5 linked regions of the Xenopus tropicalis genome follow. The protein of the gene in region 1 binds, or shares a complex with, the protein of each later gene. Links are inferred from orthologs where the notes say so. Each region holds a gene or a part of one and is shown in the gene's direction. Other genes may lie near its edges.

Region 1 (4,034 bases):
GTATTCAGTCTCCTCAATGTAAAATTTTGTAGAGCCACCTTTTCCATCAACCACATAAGAGGTTTAAGACGGAACCAGCTTTGCGCAATGTTAATAAGTGATTTTGTTCCAATCCAAAAAATAGGAAAAAAGCTTCAGCAGGTTTACTGCAAAACATTTATTGTGGGTAGTGGTAACACGACATGTTTCGGGTCAATACCCTTTATCAAGCGTACCCAATATATAAAATATAAAATATTGGGTGCACAACAGAAAGTGCAAATTACCATAACAAAGTTTTGTAAATCATGTCTTGATGTTACCAGAAACATGATAAACTGCAGAAAAATTGTATCTTTTGTCCAGATGTCCTTGACGGTGCTATTTACCCTGTTAGCCAAGTCTGAGGGGTATAAAGCTGATGTCTCTCTGTAAGATTTCCAATGAAGATTTCAGGGAGAAAAATACCTTTAAGGGTTTTCAACTGTTCTATAGAAAAGGCAGATGACGGTTGATTAAAGAGGAGAGACGTGGCACAGCTATAGGGAGAGCAGACCGTGGCCTTTGGGGGCCTAAACAGAGAGGACCTGGTATGCAGGTTGGCGCACTGGAGGGGCAACTGTGGGTTGAAGAAGGTGCCTGGGATTCCAGAGATAAACCCTTGCATGGAGCACAGGTCTACTTGGTTGTTGCCAGAATTGCACACTTAGGGGTATATTTATCATGCTGTGTAAAAAGTGGAGTGAAACATTACCAGTGATGTTGCTCAGGGCAACCAATCAGCAATTAGGTTTCAACAGTTAGAAAACCAAAGCAAAGCATATGATCGGCTGCTATGAACAACATCACCGGTGATGTTTTACTCCACTTTTTACACAGCATAATAAATATACCCCGAAGTGTAAGACTTTCCTCTGAGATTAACAATTCCTGCTGTAGAAGACATCATGATTTATCCAGTGTTATTGGCTATTACATAAGACATCCGTTGCCAGCCTTTATAGGTTTCTGGCTAATAATACTAGGATTTCTGGCTAATAATACTAAAAACATGCTTTATTTTGCAAAGCCTATTCACCCAGTTTTATATTTACACTGAACCTTTCCTTAATGTCTCCCTGACCCTGAATACGTCTGAACCCCATGGCATTATCTCTTTACAGTGCAGAGCTTTTCAGCATTAAAGCTGGAACATTCTACTGTGTAGGTACAAAATCGATGGGTTCATGCAGACCACGTGACTATTAGTAGCGGCCAGGAAATGGCAAAGGAAGTGACGCGAAAACTACGCGACGCCACAAAAATCCACAGTCCTGTAACCGCGAGTTTACCGGCGCCGCCGGCACCAAAATTTGACCATTAGCGGAGCTTCCCTTCATAGCGCGGACCCCGGACACGTAACGCACTATGGAGGAGGAAGACGCTGTGAGTAAGGGCGTGTGACGTCATGCCCGGCGACGCTCGGCGAGTCACGTGTCGTAGTTGTAGGAGAAGTCGCGTTGGTTCTATTAGGGTTTTCATCCCACTCGAGTTTCTTCTACGTGTGGTGTCAAATGCAGTGGAAGTGTATAAAGCTTTAATGGGTATTGGATGTGCTGAGGCATTTCATGCATGGCTATATTGAGAAGAGCGATAGTTTGGGAATAGCCTCATGTGGGGAAGTAACTCATGGGAAATGCTATATTAATTTTCAGTTGGATATGTAATAAGGTGCCAAGTTTACTTTAGACTCCTTAACAACCAAAAAGCGATGTGCTTTCATTAAACAAATGCCATCTGCTAATTGGTTTTGTGGATTACAGTGCATGCAGCAAACTTTGTACAATAGTGCGTCACACTCATATTCACGAAAAGGTGATGTACCGTGTTAGTCAGTCAAAATGTTTACAGAATAACCCTTTTGAAATAAAAAAATAACAAAAGTGGTATAAAGGTGATACATTTATTGGCTAACTAAGATAACTATAGCAAGCTTTCAGAACATTCTAGTTCAGGGGTAGGGAACCTATGGCTCGGGAGCCAGATGGGGCTCTTTTGATGGCTGCATCTGGCTCACTGCCAAATCTTTAATAAAAAAAACAAACGGGGGTGTGGCCTGTGCTCGGCAGATAGACGTGTTCTAAGCCTTAGAACACGTCTTCTATCTGCCGAGCGCAGGCCACACCCTCCTCCGCATCGCATCCGGTATCATTGGGACCCACCCTACCTTGTCCCGCAGCATCCGCGGCCAAACATATTGTACGGCTCTCACGGAATTACATTTTAAAATATGTGGTGTTTATGGCTTTCTCGGCCAAAAAGGTTCCCGACCCCTGTTCTAGTTCCTTTGTCAAGCTGATTACCTCTGAAAGCTTGCTATGGTTATCTTAGTTAGCCAATAAAGGTATCACCGTTATACCGTTTTTGTTATTTTTTATTTCAAAAGGGTTACACTGTAAACAATCAAATTCACGTATGCTAACCTGGCAAACCATAGCTTTTTGGAGGTCAGTTTGGTAATAACTACCTTTTTGTTTGCTCTTTTTTAAAACATTAGCAGTTCTATCCAGCTGCCTTATATTAAGTATAAAATACATCAGACGAGAAAATTAAATGATTGTTTGAAAGCAGTGCTGTTCAACTATGGTACTGAGGTCTGTCTTTGTGGTGGAGGGTTGATAATGGAAGCTAGTTTTGACAATTCCCATTCAAACCACACCCATGTTACAGAGCTGCCCCCCCATTTCTTTAGGAGTTACCCAACTTTGGTGGTTCTCCCCCTTTCTCTTGTCCTCCAGCAGCATTCTCCTGATTCTCGCAAAAACCTGTGGTGAATTTTGTGGTGTGTATGCCCAGTAAGCGGTTTGGGGTCAGGTTGACAGCTCTAATGTTATCACAAGAGCTTTTAAGACCACACTCACATTAATGGTGATAGCACAGTAAATACCCAAATAGTTGGTGCTCACTGCAGGAAATCACCCTTCCTTCATATGTTAAAGAATTATATTATGTCATATTAATACACCCTTAAATCCATATGCCTCCTCCTCTGTGGATACACAGCAACTCCCAGCACATAATTACTGAGTAGAGTATGGCGCACACAGGCAGCATAGGGCAGGCAGAGTATGGCACACAAAGGCAGTGTAAGGCTGGCACAGTATGGCACACAACAGACAAAGTATGGCAGATAGAATGGCACACAGGAGCAGGTAGAGTATGGCACACACAGACGGCATAGGGCAGGCAGAGTATGACGCAGCATGAGATAGGCAGAGTATGGCATACACAGGCAGCATAGGGCAGGCAGAGTATGGCACACACAGGCAGCATAGGGCAAGCAGAGTATGGCACACACAGGCAGCACAGGGCAGGCAGAGTATGGCACACACAGGCAGCACAGGGCAGGCAGAGTATGGCACACACAGGCAGCACAGGACATGCAGAGTATATCACACACAGGCAGCACAGGACATGCAGAGTATATCACACACAGGCAGCATAGGGCAGGTAGAGTATAGCACACAGGCAGGTTAGGATGACCAGATCATTCGAAAATTCAGGGATGTGTAATAAATGCATCTTCCGGGGAGCCACTCACTGAATTAGGCCTAGGTTGGTCATCTTGACCAAGGCAGTTTAATAATATGTATATTGTTTTGAATAACCTTGTTCTGCTTTCTGATTTGTTTTATATCTTCAACAGAGAGGCTACAACAAGCCTTGTCCGCAATGTTCTGAGGTTAACTGGGCAATAAGTGATGAGGGCACATTCTACTGCAAGAGCTGCCACACTGTCATAGAGGTATGTAAGTAGATATAACAAGTCTTTTCGCCTGTCTCTCACTCTTCTGAACACCCATCTGGGTGACTTCTTCCTCCTAATCCATGAACCTTGACCCTATTTATTTTATCTACCATCTTTAATAAAGACAACAATCACCAAAACCTTTCCTCAATTTATTCTCACTTCAGGTATTCTTAGTGTTCTTGCATCTGGCTTTGCCCAGTACAAGGTGCTGCCAAATTGTTTGACTCATTATGTCTTGTCTTATGTCTAATAACCTCTTATAATT
Region 2 (3,996 bases), about 130 Mb from region 1:
TATTGCTTAGTATAGCTGTAACTATTGCTGCCTATTGCTTAGTATAGCTGTAACTATAGCTGCCTATTGCTTAGTATAGCTGTAACTATTGCTGCCTATTGCTTAGTATAGCTGTAACTATTGCTGCCTATTGCTTAGTATAGCTGTAACTATTGCTGCCTATTGCTTAGTATAGCTGTAACTATAGCTGCCTATTGCTTAGTATAGCTGTAACTATTGCTGCCTATTGCTTAGTATAGCTGTAACTATTGCTGCCTATTGCTTAGTATAGCTGTAACTATTGCTGCCTATTGCTTAGTATAGCTGTAACTATTGCTGCCTATTGCTTAGTATAGCTGTAACTATAGCTGCCTATTGCTTAGTATAGCTGTAACTATTGCTGCCTATTGCTTAGTATAGCTGTAACTATTGCTGCCTATTGCTTAGTATAGCTGTAACTATTGCTGCCTATTGCTTAGTATAGCTGTAACTATAGCTGCCTATTGCTTAGTATAGCTGTAACTATAGCTGCCTATTGCTTAGTATAGCTGTAACTATTGCTGCCTATTGCTTAGTATAGCTGTAACTATTGCTGCCTATTGCTTAGTATAGCTGTAACTATTGCTGCCTATTGCTTAGTATGGCTGTAACAAGGATGTCCAAAGGGATCAAAGCTGAAAGGAATGACCAAATGTTCTGTATGGGCCAACTGTAACAATAGTGAGGCAATAATTGAAAAACTGGGTGGGTTATAGGGTTTTTAAAAATCAAAAATTAAAACCATGTCCATTATTCACAAAAACATGGCAGTGTAACTTCAAATAAAATACTAAGTTTGGGATATCAGGAGCAGACTCTGAGGGTAGTGGGTATTGCTGGTAATCACCAGAAAAATAAAGCTTTTTTTCATATTTACCTCACCCACAAATATAAACAAAGTGTTTTTTTTGTTCCCATTTACATGTTCTGTGGAGCAGAGAAAGCAAATATTTGTTTTTTCATCAAACACTGGGGATAAAGCTTCTAAGGGCAGTGGCCATGGCAAGGAAACACGAAGGAAAAAAGCAGTCGTTATTTTCTTTATTTATTCTCTAACAAAATCAGAATCTGTGAGAGCAGAATAATCAGTCAGCGGCCCCCACTGCCAGCTATTGCCTGACTAACTCTTCACCCAATGACGAGTTGGCGCCGTCTCCGCCCCTTTTATACGTGGTTCATGACGTCATATTCTCGCGAGAGGAGGCTAGCGGCGTGTGGCTGAACATGCCTGCGGGATGCTTGGGGCTGGAAGTGCAAGCGGCGCTGCGGGGAATGTAAACACAGTGTGAGGGGGAAGCAGCCCGCTTGTCTGATTGTAACCGAGGGGAGATGGATGGGAGCAGCGAACGCAGTGCGGAAAGGGAAGATTCCGAGGAGGGACCGAGTGAGGAGGAGGTTCTGGGGCTCCAGCTGCCGGTGCCAAGAAGGAAACCCCACGGTAAAGACACTTAAGGGTATATTGATCATGCTGTGTAAAAAGTGGAGTAAAACATCACCAGTGTTGTTGTATATAGCAGCCAATCAGATGCTTTGATTTGATTTTCTAACTGTTGAAATCTAATTGCTGATTGGTTGCTCTGGGTAACATCACCAGTACTGCTTTACTCCACTTTTTACACAGCATGATAAGTACATACCTCCCAACATTTGAAAAATGAAAAGAGGGACAAAAAGATTTGGCGCGCGCGCAGTGCGGCATTTTTTTTAATCACGCCCCCTTTTGTGGCCACGCCCCAATTACCACACCCCATTAAAAAAAAATACCCCTTTTATATAGATGAAATGGCGGGCGCAGACGAAAATGTGCTATACCCTCATACTGTACTACCTAAGGAAAACAATATAGCAACTCCTACATATAAATACAAGTATAGAGAGAAGGCAGTCAGTTATAACTAAGTACCAGTTTTGCCCCCCCATACACAGTAGCCCCCCCATACACAGTAGCCCCCCCATACACAGTAACCCCCCCATACAGAGTAACCCCCCCATACAGAGTAGCCCCCCCATACAGAGTAGCCCCCCCATACACAGTAGCCCCCCATACACAGTAGCCCCCCATACACAGTAGCCCCCCATACACAGTAGCCCCCCATACACAGTAGCCGTCCCCCCGATCACAGTGTCCCCCCGATCACAGTGTCCCCCCCGATCACAGTGTCCCCCCCGATCACAGTGTCCCCCCGATCACAGTGTCCCCCCGATCACAGTGTCCCCCCCGATCACAGTGTCCCCCCCCACAGGTCCCCCCGATCACAGTGTCCCCCCCGATCACAGTGTCCCCCCCGATCACAGTGTCCCCCCCGATCACAGTGTCCCCCCCGATCACAGTGTCCCCCCCGATCACAGTGTCCCCCCCGATCACAGTGTCCCCCCCGATCACAGTGTCCCCCCCGATCACAGTGGCCCCCCCGATCACAGTGGCCCCCCATTCACAGTACCTCCCATAGGCGCAGGCTTCTTCTGCTGCTTCGTTATGCCTCTCCTTGTGCAGCGCGACAGGCCCTTTTATAAGGTTGCGCCCATGCGTAATGACGTCACACCCACAGGCGCAACCTTATAAAAGGGCCTGTAGCGCTGCACAAGGAGAGGCATAACGAAGCAGCCGACGAAGCAAGAACATCCGGCTACAGCAAGCGCATCCTGCTGTGCCGGATAGTTCCATGAATGTCCCGCAATGCGGGACAGTTGGGGGGTATGTAAGTATACCCCTTAGTAGTGACTGTCTGTGGCACCTTACAGCCCCCCTGGCATTCCCAGTACCCAGAGGCACAAACAGCCCCCCCAGCCCAATAAATAGTGACTGTCTGTGGCACCTTACAGCCCCCCTGGCATTCCCAGTACCCAGAGGCACAAACAGCCCCCCCAGCCCAATAAATAGTGACTGTCTGTGGCACCTTACAGCCCCCCTGGCATTCCCAGTACCCAGAGGCACAAACAGCCCCCCAGCCCAATAAATAGTGACTGTCTGTGGCACCTTACAGCCCCCCTGGCATTCCCAGTACCCAGAGGCACAAACAGCCCCCCCCCCCAGCCCAATAAATAGTGACTGTCTGTGGCACCTTACAGCCCCCCTGGCATTCCCAATACCCAGAGGCACAAACAGCCCCCCCCCCAGCCCAATAAATAGTGACTGTCTGTGGCACCTTACAGCCCCCTGGCATTCCCAGTACCCAGAGGCACAAACAGCCCCCCAGCCCAATAAATAGTGACTGTCTGTAGTACCTTACAGCCCCCCTGGCATTCCCAGTACCCAGAGGCACAAACAGCCCCCCCCCCAGCCCAATAAATAGTGACTGTCTGTGGCACCTTACAGCCCCCCGGCATTCCCAGTACCCAGAGGCACAAACAGCCCCCCCCCCAGCCCAATAAATAGTGACTGTCTGTGGCACCTTACAGCCCCCCTGGCATTCCCAGTACCCAGAGGCACAAACAGCTCCCCCCCAGCCCAATAAATAGTGACTGTCTGTGGCTCCTTACAGCCCCCCTGGCATTCCCAGTACCCAGAGGCACAAACAGCCCCCCCCAGCCCAATAAATAGTGACTGTCTGTGGCACCTTACAGCCCCCCTGGCATTCCCAGTACCCAGAGGCACAAACAGCCCCCCCAGCCCAATAAATAGTGACTGTCTGTGGCACCTTACAGCCCCCCGGCATTCCCAGTACCCAGAGGCACAAACAGCCCCCCCCCCAGCCCAATAAATAGTGACTGTCTGTGGCACCTTACAGCCCCCCTGGCATTCCCAGTACCCAGAGGCACAAACGCCCCCCCAGCCCAATAAATAGTGACTGTCTGTGGTACCTTACAGCAGCCCCTCTGGCATTCCCAGTACCCAGAGGCATTGGCCAGAACCCACAGATTGCCAGTCTGGGCCTGGTGTGGCTGTAGAGTTGCTAAATTGTATATAGGGAACCTCTGCCCTCAGTAAACTGATACATTTAGCCCTCATAAAGGAGACATATCATGTTAAAATTATGA
Region 3 (4,183 bases), about 99 Mb from region 1:
AGGGAGGCAATCAGTGCAGTGAAGACCTTCTTCAACTTGATCTCTTAATAGTTTTTTATGTTTGCTTTATATTAATGCAGGTGAAACATGAAAAGAATGTGCCTCCATGGACTGAAATTGTCCTTATCCCAATGACTGGGAAAGCAAGTCTGTACCCTGGGCTTTTTCTTTTCACCACCCCCTGCAGGATGGTACGTCCCGTCAGGAATTTGGCCTTGGGTAAAGAGGAATTGCTTGGCACTTTGGAACAGGTATTTTTCAGTGTTTTGTACATAAGTAAATCTTCTTTAATTTGATGACCATATTTTAGGCTCCTTCTTGAATTCCATTACAATATTGTCTCTGATTGGTAATCTCCTGCATGACTCTAGCTTTGATCCTGTATTATGTGTTAAACATCTGTTGTAAGTTTCATTTTCTTTGCAGGAATTATCCATAATGTATTGTATTTCACTGGTGTTACTTGTGTTTGCCCCAGGTTTTCTTGAATGTGGCAGTTTATGAAGGTGATATTGTACCCGGAGAGACCACTCACCAGGAGTTTTTCCCGCACAGCATGCTGAGTGTAGTAGCAAATTTTATCCCCTTCTCAGACCACAACCAGAGTCCCAGAAACATGTATCAGTGTCAGATGGGTAAGTCATCTTTTAAGCAGGGCATCAGAATTTGGTAAGAATGTAAGATTTGTTCTGGTTAAGTTTAATCTACTCTTGTAAGAGCTATAAAATAGTATGTAGAGCTAAATATTGCAGCAGAAAAGTTCATTACTTGAGGAAGAGACCCTTGCTTTTTCCTGAAATTTCATAAATTGCATTATTTCCAGGTAAGCAGACAATGGGCTTCCCTCTTATGACTTATCAGGATCGCTCTGATAACAAACTGTACCGGCTACAGACCCCACAGAGTCCTTTAGTTCGGCCTTCCATGTATGATTATTATGAGATGGATAACTATCCCATTGGCACCAATGCAATCGTAGCAGTCATTTCGTATACAGGGTATGACATGGAGGATGCCATGGTAAGTAGTTGTCCCAAATTTGGTGAATAGAGATTTACATATCTGCTTATTTATTGAAATTATTAAAAACATTTGTCATAGGTAGTAATTTCTTAAACTTACTTGCCCCTTTCCAGCCTAGGCTGAGGTTTTAAAAGGCTGTAAAACCAGTGTGTGCCCCCCGCCCCCCCTAATACTATCAGAGATGGACAGGTATCGGCAGTCGCCAGAGGCGGTGGAGTATGAGTTGCTTCATCACCAGAAACGCTGGTATAGTTGGTGATGTCATGCATATAATTAATAAGAATAATATTATCTATTTAAAAATGTTATCAATTTATTTTTGTTAAATAAACTGTAAAATATGAGGGCATTGCTTTTACGTACATTAAATATTTATTTTCTGTGTGTCTGTATTTACACCTTGGGGTGGGGGCATCCATTTTGTTTGCCTACTATTCACTAGGCACAATGCATAGAAGATGCCTGTACTTAATACTTATTAAAGGCAGGTGATAAGTAAAGGGCACCCTTGTGTCCAAACTGTAGGGAGTACAAGTAGGAGCATACTATTTTAATAGATAACATTTTAATCCCATTATTGCACTTGGCACTGGGCCTACCATTGATAAGTGGGACCTTATGTTGGCCTACATACCAGCTAATGACCAGAAATCACTAAATAAAACTTCAAGTTTCCAGTGCACAATAAATGCATCAGCCTTATACAAGAACCAGATCTTTTGTTCAGTATCAGCTTCAGGGGTGACATCTGTACTGGTGTTTTGCAGGTCTTGAACAAGTCATCATGGGAAAGAGGCTTTGCTCATGGAAGTGTGTATAAAACTGATCACGTGGATCTCAGTAAAAAACTTAAAGATGGAGAAGATAATCTAGTTTTTGGCATCAAACCAGATGATGAGCGGGTGAAAGGAAGACTGGACAGCGATGGCCTCCCTGCTGTTGGTGCTGTTCTGCAGTTTGGAGACCCTTACTATGGCTACCTGAACCTTAACACAGGGGAGAGCTTTGTTGCCTATTACAAGTAAGTATTAATTTGCTTGCAGTTCCCTGGGATCCTGTATGAATGGCCTAGTATTATTTTGAATGTACAAGAAGGAGTAATGGATACATTATCTATCTGATACTGATACTACAGATCCTGGTTTAAATTCTTGATCCTGGGCAAATCACCTAATTTCCTCGTCTTTGAGCCCTAATTGTATGTTATAACTCCAATTCCACACCTTGTTTTGCTTTTTTGATGTTGTGTACAGCAGCCCCCTTTGAAAATTGTTTATAGTGGTTTAAATAAAGTTGTACAAACAAAGACCAAAGAGCATTTATGCACATAGTTATTTATAATAAGACAGGCACCAGATATCATTCGTATCTCTTATTTATTCTTTTTAGGAGTAAAGAAAACTGTGTAATTGACAACATCAAAATCTGCAGTAATGACATTGGTTTTGGAAAGTTTAAGTCTGTTTGTGTCACCATGAGAATCCCCCGTAATCCAACAATCGGGGATAAATTTGCAAGTCGGCATGGCCAAAAGGGTATTTTGAGTAGGCTTTGGCCGTCTGAGGATATGCCATTTACAGAGAGTGGAATGGTTCCGGACATCCTTTTCAATCCTCACGGATTTCCCTCTAGAATGACCATTGGGATGCTGATAGAGAGCATGGCTGGAAAGTCAGCAGCCCTGCATGGTCTCTGCCACGATGCCACACCCTTTACATTTTCTGAAGAAAACTCTGCCCTTGAATATTTTGGAGAAATGCTGAGAGCAGGTGGTTACAATTTCTATGGCACAGAGAAACTATACAGTGGCATAAGTGGCCTGGAACTTGAAGCCGATATTTTCATTGGGGTGGTTTACTACCAGCGCCTTCGACACATGGTCTCTGACAAGTTTCAGGTTAGAACAACAGGTGCCAGGGATAAAGTTACCAACCAGCCTGTGGGAGGCCGTAATGTTCAAGGTGGGATACGTTTTGGAGAAATGGAGCGTGATGCACTGCTGGCCCACGGTACCTCTTTCCTGCTTCATGATCGACTTTTTAACTGCTCGGATAGGTCGACAGCACATGTGTGCATAGAATGTGGAAGCCTACTCTCTCCTTTCTTGGAAAAGCCTCCGCCTTCCTGGTCATCCATACGCAACCGAAAACACCACTGTGAAGTCTGCGATCGTACGGATACTGTTGAGACTGTATCAGTACCTTATGTTTTCCGTTATTTTGTGGCTGAATTAGCAGCCATGAATATCAGTGTGAAACTAAGTGTGAGCTAGTTTCAAACACCACGTTGTGTTGGGCAACTTCTGTATGATTATAGTAGTACCAATGTGCCTCCTAATTGAGTAAAAACTTTGTATGTATGGATTTCAACTGCTAACTCACACTGTGGCAGCTTTGGTTTGCTTCAGACTGAATCTGACTAAATTATTTTTATCAGCATTTTTACTGCTGAAACAATTTCCAATGTGAAAAGGAAACAGTTATTTTTACTGAGTTTAAAAATGCTCAGAAGTCTCATGCTTGCGGCACACATCCCTACCAGAAGTGTCTAGAGAATTTGGACTTTGGGGGAATATATTTTTAAAGTAAAATATATGGTGACATGAACAATGCTGTGTGACATAAAGCAACAGTTCCCACATTAGTCTTTATATCTTTTGTATTTCATGGTTTGTTTGTTTTTTTTAAATACCATTACATGTGTACAATTAGATGCTTAAAATGACATACGTCTTTTGTTTAGTGCAAAGAAAAGTATGCACACCTGCTGCCTGCAAGCAGTGTAGCTATAGGGGGGAGCAGACCCCAGGGCTACAGCGAGTAACACAAAAAAGGCACTCTCTTGAGCATGGAGTGGAGGTGGCCAAAAATTGTTTGCTAGTGTACCTGGGACCAGGGAATACAGTGGAAGTACTAAATGCCTTTTATTCATAGTTTCTGTATTGTGTAACACTATTTTGGGATAGATTGGACCAAAACCAGGCTAGTTGTAGAGCATTGGTTACATGTGACTCTCATACATCAGGATGGGCCTCCGCTATATGGGAGAAATTACTGGAGGATGGTGTTATACCAGGGGGCTCAAACTCAATTTACCTGGGGGCCGCATTATCGGATAATGCAAGGCACGGCGGGCGGGAGCTGCTGATTGCGGAAATGAC
Region 4 (3,983 bases), on another chromosome or scaffold:
TCATAGGGGTTAGCACAAGTGGCATAACTTGGTTGCCCCCTGCATAAAAAGCTTTTGAGAGGGTCCGGCGCAACCAGTCCCTCCATCCGGCCAGACTGCACCAGTATATTTAAGGTAGGAAAGGGGCCTGGGAGGGGGGACTAAGGCACAGCAGACCCTGCAGTCGGGCCCCCCACCCCAGTCAGGGTTGGACTGGGCCCAAAACCCATGGCGCTCTCTCCCCTGTTGCACATAAGCTAAGACACACGGCAGAGGGAGTTGAGCAGACAGTGGGGGCCAGGACAGGGCCCCCCAGTTCAACCCTGTATATAGTTACACCCCTGGTTAGCACTGCTGTCTGGGTTTCATTCTAGCCTGGGCACTAGCTGCAACTCCCTGGGATTCCTCCCACACTCCAAATACATACAGGCAGATTAAGTGGTACTGATAAATTGACCCTAGTGAATGTGGTAGCAACCTTAGATTGTAAGCTCCACTGGAGCGGGGGCTGGTGTACAATCTCTGCTCATTGCTGCAGTGTCAGTACCATATAAATAAGGGTTAATAACTGTAAGGCGCAAAGCCCTTCCCCTGGCACAGTATGGGCTCCTGGCATCTCTAGCTGCTCCCCGCTCATTATGCCTGATTGCTGTTCATGTTAAAGAGAGAGAGAGAAGAAACCCTCCTTGATGTGCCAGGAAAGCTTCCCCCATGATTGGCTCCCTCTCTCTGACGCTTTCAACAACAAAGGTGGAGTCAAAAAAAAAATTAGGTTAAAAAAAAGGAGAAGATAAATAAGAGTCAGACAGGAACAACATATAGGGAATAAAAACCTGTTATGGGGGGTTTAGCGCCTGTGTATGGTTGGAAGCGCTGAGCAGCCAGCAGCCGCCGGATCTGAGCAGCCACCAAGCCCTGCTTCAACCATGATCACTGTATTGTTGGACTACAGCTCCCAGAATGCCCGCACAGCCTATCTGGGAGCTGTAGTTGGACAACAGCTGGAAGCAAATTGCTGCCGTATGAGGTGAATGTGAGGGGTGCCTGTAGCGGCAGCTGGTAATGGGGAGCAGATTGCGGTGCTGGCTGGATGGAGGAAAGGGAGGGATGGAGGGATCAGCTGGAGCCTGTTGCAGGGAGAGATTGGAGGGGGCCTGGCTGATTGGAAGGCTGTATAGGCACGGAGAGCGATGGAGGCGGGGGAAGTGCGAGCTCTCTGCGGGGACTGGGTCTGAGTCCACGCCCGGGGCCAGCGCTGCAGATCTGGCCATCATTCAAGCGCCGCTTCCCCAGCCTTGTACAGGGGAGGAGGAAGCCGAGCCCGGGCTGCACACACACACACAGGAGGTGGGTTTCACTGAGCTCCATAGAACTCCCCCGGAGCTGGCGAGGCCCCCCTGCCGGGCTGTGTAGGGTGCAGCAGCGGGAGGAGGAGGAGGCGGCTCCCCGCGTTCTGTCTGCCCGGCTGCTGCTGCAGCGACGCTGGGCGGGGAGAAGGAGCAGGCAGCGCCCCCCCTCCCCCGGAGCTCTCGCCATTACCCAGGGGCTGCCGCAGCCGCTTTGTCTCCGAGATCCGGACAAGCAGATTCCCCCCAACATCCCTGGGAGAGACAGTGGGGTAAGCCGGCTTGGGGGTCTGCGGGCACCTGGGGACGGATACGGCACAGATCGCTGGATTAGTATAAAATCCACTACCGGCCGGGGAATTTGTAGCCACCGAAGGGCGTTAGTGTGCGGGGAAACCCGGGGAAAATGTCACCTCCAAGCGGGCACGATTCAGTCGGGCTTGCCGAGAAACATGCACTTTTCTCGGTCACCTTGCGCGACTCACCCCGTTGCGGTTATGGGGAAGGTACGTGTAGCCTCAGTTTCCCTGCCCGGGCTCACCCTGCGGGGCATGGGTTTGTTTAATGCGGGGAAGGGCACTGTATGTGACGGGCAGTGTGGAACCCAATAAGGGCAATAGCAGCCCGGGTTCCCGCTGCGCCCTCTCCCAGGCACCCTCCCCTCGGGCTTTGGCTTGTTTTTCTCGGGAAGAGGCTGCTAGTTCCGCGCTGGGGCTGCTGAGGTCGCTCTCCCCCGAGTCTCCGGCTCCTCCTCCCCCCTTGGCCGGAAGGTGAGGCCCGGCAGCTGGGAACAAGGTAAGAGCTGCGGAGGGGGAAGGAGAGAGACGTTCCCAGGGGAGCAGAGAGGTGGGTGCCCGGGAAGATTGCGGGGAGCTGCGCCGACACGGCTCGGAGCACCGAAGGGAGGGGGCCGGGAACATGAGGCAGAGCTGGCCGGGGCTCGGGTGCATATTGCGGGGAAACGCGAGGGGGCGTCCGGCTGCTGTTGCGGGGCTTCCGGGCGCGACACGTGGGCTGGCAGGGGACTCGGGCTGGGGACGGCGCTTCTCACGGTGAGTAGGAGCGGAGAGGGGGTAGAAGGTGACCCTGTTTCCCGGGAAGAACAGATGCTGCCTGGACTGCGCTGCCGGTAGTTAAGGAGGCAGTCGGCCGGTGTCTAACGGGGAGCGAAAGAATCATTCGCGGGTAGAAGCGAAGGGACCCATTGTGGGCAAATAACGAGGTGGGTGAAAGTCGGCCGAGCCTGTGGCGCATTATACTACCGCAGGCAGCCCGACTGGATCGTCTGATGGTTTAACCATACGGGCTCTGCTTTAGCCGAATCCGATTCGGAGCCTTTCCCCGCACCTTGCTCAAGGCAGCCCAAGCGGCTTCCCGGCACAGGGTGAACGAGTCGGGGCTACCAGCGATCCCAATGAAAAGCGTTTTAAGGCGGAGGCTCCCCCTGGGTCGCGGAATGGGCTGATCCGTACTAGTGGAAGCCGTGCCGCGGCAGGGAAGGAGCGGACGCCGGAGCTACGGCTGGTCCATAACAAAGGGGGGAGCGCTTTTCTCGGGAGCCGCTGGTTCGGAAGCGGGCGGTAGGTTAGGGTGTATTCCTCGCTACGGACGGGGGCTCGAAAAGATGCTATTTACTGGTACGGAGAGTCAGAGCCCGGGGTGGGGGTTGGACTAAGCGGGATAGGGTGCCCGGAAAGCTGGTGTTTTGGTCCAGTAAGGACCAGCCCCGCAGGCATTACTCGCTAGGGTCAGGGGTTCCCGGGTGAGACGGTTCTTCGGTAGAGTCAGTGGGTTGTGTCAGGTTGGAGCGACCCCTCCCTGGGACTGGAGACGGGAGAGTACCGCTGGGTATGCGGCAGTGCTCAGTCGGGCCGCCCTTACGGCTAGGAACCCGGCTTTGCCTGGGGGTCGCTGCCGCGCTAATCCTCCCTCGCACCGGACTAGGGTTGTACAGTTACCGGGACCGCATCGCTGCTGCTTCCCGACGCGCCCAACAGGAATCCCGGCTCCCAGCCAGAAGTTCCTCCCTTTCGGGGGTGGGATACGTCTGCTCTTTCCGGATCCCGTCCCCTCCCGGTGCTGGGCGGGTGCTACGGTGAGAGGCGGCGGGGGCCCCCTGCAGGCAGAACGGAGAGTCCTAGCCCGACTCGGGGTGGGGAATTGTGACCTCAGAGCGCCCTTTCCTGGAAATAGAGCAGCGCTGCTTCTTAGTACCCAGTCCTGTAGCCGGAGCTCGGCCCGTACTGATCGGTGTGTTTGTATGGCAGCTCCTACGCCGTGTACGATTCCCTGCAACTGGCGCTGCTGTTGAAAACTGTAGTTCAGCATCAGTCACGTCACACACACATTTGCACTGCTGCCACTAGACTCGTTTGGGTTTAATAGCAAAACCATTTAGGACCCCTTCACTTTTCCAGTAAGACATGGCCACTGTGACCCCCTATATCTCCTGGACTACCCCAAAAGTCGCAGCTGTGAGACTCCAAATATCCTTAACCTCATACCAGAACCATGTGACCATAATGGTAGAGCTGGAGGGGCAGATTATAGGTAATGCCCCGACTGTGTTTGCCACACACCCATCGCATGTAAAATGCCAAGCAAGCTGATATTTACTCCCAGCCCATGCCTACATACCCTTTTATACTGCCTTAAACC
Region 5 (3,513 bases), on another chromosome or scaffold:
CAACCTTCCTAATGCCACACGACCCTTTCATAAAGTTCCTCATGTTGTGGTGACCCCCAGCCATAAAATTATTTCTAAGGGCTCTGGCACACGGGGAGATTAGTCGCCCGCGACAAATCTCCCTGTTCGCGGGCGACTAATCTCCCCGAATTGCCATCCCACTGGCGACAATGTAAGTCGCCGGTGGGATGGCACACGTTGCGCAAGCGATTTCGGCAAATCGCCGAAGTTGCCTCGCGAGGCAATTTCGGCGATTTGCTGAAATTGCGCCGCCGCATGTGCCATCCCACTGCCGACTTACATTGTGGCCGGTGGGATGGCGACTCGGTGAGATTAGTCGCCCGCGAACAGGGAGACTTGTTGCGGGCGACTAATCTCCCCATGTGCCAGAGCCCTAAGACCATCAGAAAAATGTGTTTTCCGATGGTCTTAGGCGACCCCTGTGAAAGCGCCGTTCGACCCCCAAAGGGGTCCCGACCCACAGGTTGAGAACCGCTGGTCTAATGTGTGTTTTTTTTTTTTTGTTTTTTTTTACCAGCAATCTGTTTTTGGTGGATTTCTGAGCCATATTGAAAAGCTTAAGTGTGATCGACATCTGCAAAATTCATTACAGGGCATGGATTTAGGGGAAGATTTAGAGAATGAAAGTTTAGAAATGCATAAATATGGGTACCTGGATGATGCTGGACCGATTTCACCTATCGCTGAGCACGAGTAAGCATTGACATTTGATCAGCAACTGTGCTTTATCCTAAAAAGATTTAATTTTTACATTTATAATATGTGATAAAAACTAGTTCCATCTACTAGGGTCACTAGAGTGGCAGTTCACCCAAAACTAGACTTTTATTATGATGCAGACAATAGTATTAAAAATGAAAATGGGAAAAGTAGAAATATTGTGGTAACAGCAGCAACTAAAAAAGAAAAGGTGCTTAAAGGAGAAGGAAAGTCATTTTGGCATTTTACTACCAATAGATCTGCCACATTAGTGCAACCTAGAACAATATATTTATTCTGCAGAAACCATTAACATACCTGAGTAAACGGCTTTAGAAGCTTTCTCCGTTTGCTTAAGTTAGCAGCTGCCATTTTAGGTAGCATCCTTCCTGCAGTCTCTAGCCGTTATAGCTGAGATCAAAACTCCATGTTCGCTGGCGACTAATCTCACCGCGTGTGCCATCCCACCGGCGACTTACATTTTCGCCGGTGGGATGGCAGGTGATGGCAACTCGGGGAGATTAGTCACCCGCGAACAGCGAGTTTTGTTGCGGGCGACTAATCTCCCCGTGTGCCAGAGCCCTTAAGGGCACCTATGTTAGGAATATTGTTTCCACCTAACAGAGGTGCAGACTTATTTTTAAAGTATTATACCTTTTTATTTTTTTGCCTCTTTAAATCATAATGTTTAAAATGCTACTTGATTTAAATGTACACAGAAGCTGCTCAGGCATTCATTCTAAACTTCATAAAAATGCATTGTGCTTTGCATGTTAATATTTTTTTTGCAAAATATTTTAAACATAGAATTACTATTATATTAAACAGCACCCATATATTGCATAGCACTTCACATAGATTATACAGAATTGATAAAGGGGTTGTTCATCTTTGTACAACATTAACAAATCTAACTGTTCTAACAGTTCACATTAATGGAACAATCATTGCCATATACATAGTTAACAAAAAATGTGCAGCTGAAGAGATAGTAACCTCAGAATCATCCCTCTTGATCCTTCACTTCTGCACAGACCCTGTACTGGGGGGGGTTGCTGTTTTACTTCCTTATATCCTTATATAATGTCACACATAGTACTGCCAGTACTGGTTGTGTCTCTTGTGCAAATATAATATAACAGAATGGTACATTTGTGATATGCTGAGTCTGTTTGCCTATGCCTTAGCAAGGAAGAAATTAACCAATGACCTTTTTAATTTATGTATCTGGTTAGAGTGTAGAAGCAACCAATGAATTGGTCGAGTAGGAAAAAAGTAAGGGCAAAGCCTGGACTTGATGATGTAAGCATATTGGAAGTTCTCGGTGTGTCAGGTGCCACTCCCATCCCTTCTGAAAACTGATCAGGGAGACAGAAGTAGATTTTACAGTGCGCTTTACATGAGAGAATTTTTGGTGGACATTGAAGGTGAACAACCCCTTTAAGTGTGTATAGTTAACTCGATTCTGAATCATTGAATACAATAAGCAATAATGCTTTTCTTACAATCTTACAGTGCGAATACTACCAGTAATGAAGGTCTGTGTAATTATGATGCAAAAATTGTGGTGAGTCACAGCTTTCTAATAAGCAAATATTCTTTTGAAAGTATTTATCCAGATTGCTGTCTGTTGATGAGCCTTATATTCATAGGTAAAAAAAAATAGAGAGAACTTTCTCATCTGTTCCTTTTGACTTGTGATCTCAATTCTAGACTTAAAACTTTTACACTTTTAATCACTGTGTCTTATACATGCATTCATTCTATTCTCGCTGGTATTCTCACCTTTCTATCCCACATATTACTACCAATATATTCTGCACAACTTAAGCAATCAATTCCACTGAACTTTTTATCAATTACCATATCCTTATATGTTTGGGTTGTGTTTTAACATAGATGCTTATATTTTCCTCAGTTCTCCTCTTGAAATCTCAATTGGGGTAATTTATCAACAATAGGCAGGAACACATAGGGGCACATTCATCAAAGTACTGAATACAAAAAATACAAAAAATTTGTATTTTTTCTAAGTTTTCGTACTGTTTGTATTTTTTGAAACTTTTTTCGTTAATTTGCACGACTTGTTCGACAATTTGTGCAACAAAATCGTATTTGTCGCAACGAGTACGGAAGTTTCGGATTCATTAAAGCTTCGTTATCGTGACTTTTCTTGGGCCAGGTTGGAGCTACAGACTGCCATTGAGTCCTATGGGAGGCTTTCAAAAACATGCACAGAAGGATCAAAGTCAGAACGCTGTTCTGATATTATCGCGACTATTATCATTTTTTCGTAAGCATTTTTGTGACATTTCCTATCATCACAAATTATCGTATTTAATCCGAATTTGTCATGGGAAAACATAATTTTTTTCAAAACATATCAGTTAATAGAGCTTCTCCAGCAAAATCCTGCACTGAAATCTATTTTTCAAAAACACAAACTGTTTTTTTTTTTTTTCATTTAATTTTGAAATTTAACGTGGAGCTAACCATATTTCTAATTTCCCAGAATGCCACAACCATGAGATCTGTGCTCTGATAAACTTCAGTAATGATTTACTGCTGAGCTGCAAGTTGGAGTGACACCCCTCCCAGCAGCTGATCAGCAGAACAATGGGAAGGTTGCAAGATAGCAGCTCTCAGCAGATATCAGAATAGCACTCAGTAGTAAGAAAGCCAAGTCCAGCTTGCGACTCCTACAGTTATATGGGAGTAGGAGAAACAATAGGTTACCTCAGTGCTGTCCAACTGGCGGCCCGCGGCCCGTGGCCCCCCACCTGTCTGGCTGCT

The links.
Region 2: taf1b (region 1) and taf1a share a complex: the UniProt entries of both Homo sapiens proteins name them as parts of the transcription factor SL1/TIF-IB complex. The link is inferred for Xenopus tropicalis from reciprocal best matches to the Homo sapiens genes TAF1B and TAF1A.
Region 3: taf1b (region 1) and polr1b share a complex: the UniProt entries of both Homo sapiens proteins name them as parts of the pol I pre-initiation complex. The link is inferred for Xenopus tropicalis from reciprocal best matches to the Homo sapiens genes TAF1B and POLR1B.
Region 4: taf1b (region 1) and ubtf share a complex: the UniProt entries of both Homo sapiens proteins name them as parts of the pol I pre-initiation complex. The link is inferred for Xenopus tropicalis from reciprocal best matches to the Homo sapiens genes TAF1B and UBTF.
Region 5: taf1b (region 1) and taf1d share a complex: the UniProt entries of both Homo sapiens proteins name them as parts of the transcription factor SL1/TIF-IB complex. The link is inferred for Xenopus tropicalis from reciprocal best matches to the Homo sapiens genes TAF1B and TAF1D.

What each region holds. Positions count from the first base shown.
Region 1 is NC_030681.2:138,009,646-138,013,679, forward strand, and holds the start of taf1b (TATA box-binding protein-associated factor RNA polymerase I subunit B), read left to right. Parts: upstream 1-1,221; 5' UTR 1,222-1,386; coding exon 1,387-1,404; intron 1,405-3,664; coding exon 3,665-3,763; intron 3,764-4,034. UniProt on the Homo sapiens protein: Component of RNA polymerase I core factor complex that acts as a GTF2B/TFIIB-like factor and plays a key role in multiple steps during transcription initiation such as pre-initiation complex (PIC) assembly and postpolymerase recruitment events in polymerase I (Pol I) transcription.
Region 2 is NC_030681.2:9,682,491-9,686,486, forward strand, and holds the start of taf1a (TATA box-binding protein-associated factor RNA polymerase I subunit A), read left to right. Parts: upstream 1-1,191; 5' UTR 1,192-1,347; coding exon 1,348-1,456; intron 1,457-3,996. UniProt on the Homo sapiens protein: Component of the transcription factor SL1/TIF-IB complex, which is involved in the assembly of the PIC (pre-initiation complex) during RNA polymerase I-dependent transcription.
Region 3 is NC_030681.2:38,746,334-38,750,516, forward strand, and holds the end of polr1b (DNA-directed RNA polymerase I subunit RPA2), read left to right. Parts: intron 1-80; coding exon 81-251; intron 252-478; coding exon 479-635; intron 636-823; coding exon 824-1,020; intron 1,021-1,790; coding exon 1,791-2,044; intron 2,045-2,412; coding exon 2,413-3,295; 3' UTR 3,296-3,673; downstream 3,674-4,183. UniProt on the Homo sapiens protein: Catalytic core component of RNA polymerase I (Pol I), a DNA-dependent RNA polymerase which synthesizes ribosomal RNA precursors using the four ribonucleoside triphosphates as substrates.
Region 4 is NC_030686.2:18,523,029-18,527,011, reverse strand, and holds the start of ubtf (nucleolar transcription factor 1), read left to right. Parts: upstream 1-1,170; 5' UTR 1,171-1,597; exon of another isoform or gene 1,598-1,831; intron 1,832-1,966; exon of another isoform or gene 1,967-2,377; intron 2,378-2,405; exon of another isoform or gene 2,406-2,547; intron 2,548-2,608; exon of another isoform or gene 2,609-2,905; intron 2,906-2,998; exon of another isoform or gene 2,999-3,575; intron 3,576-3,983. UniProt on the Homo sapiens protein: Recognizes the ribosomal RNA gene promoter and activates transcription mediated by RNA polymerase I (Pol I) through cooperative interactions with the transcription factor SL1/TIF-IB complex.
Region 5 is NC_030678.2:100,285,165-100,288,677, reverse strand, and holds part of taf1d (TATA box-binding protein-associated factor RNA polymerase I subunit D), read left to right. Parts: intron 1-538; coding exon 539-714; intron 715-2,235; coding exon 2,236-2,287; intron 2,288-3,513. UniProt on the Homo sapiens protein: Component of the transcription factor SL1/TIF-IB complex, which is involved in the assembly of the PIC (preinitiation complex) during RNA polymerase I-dependent transcription.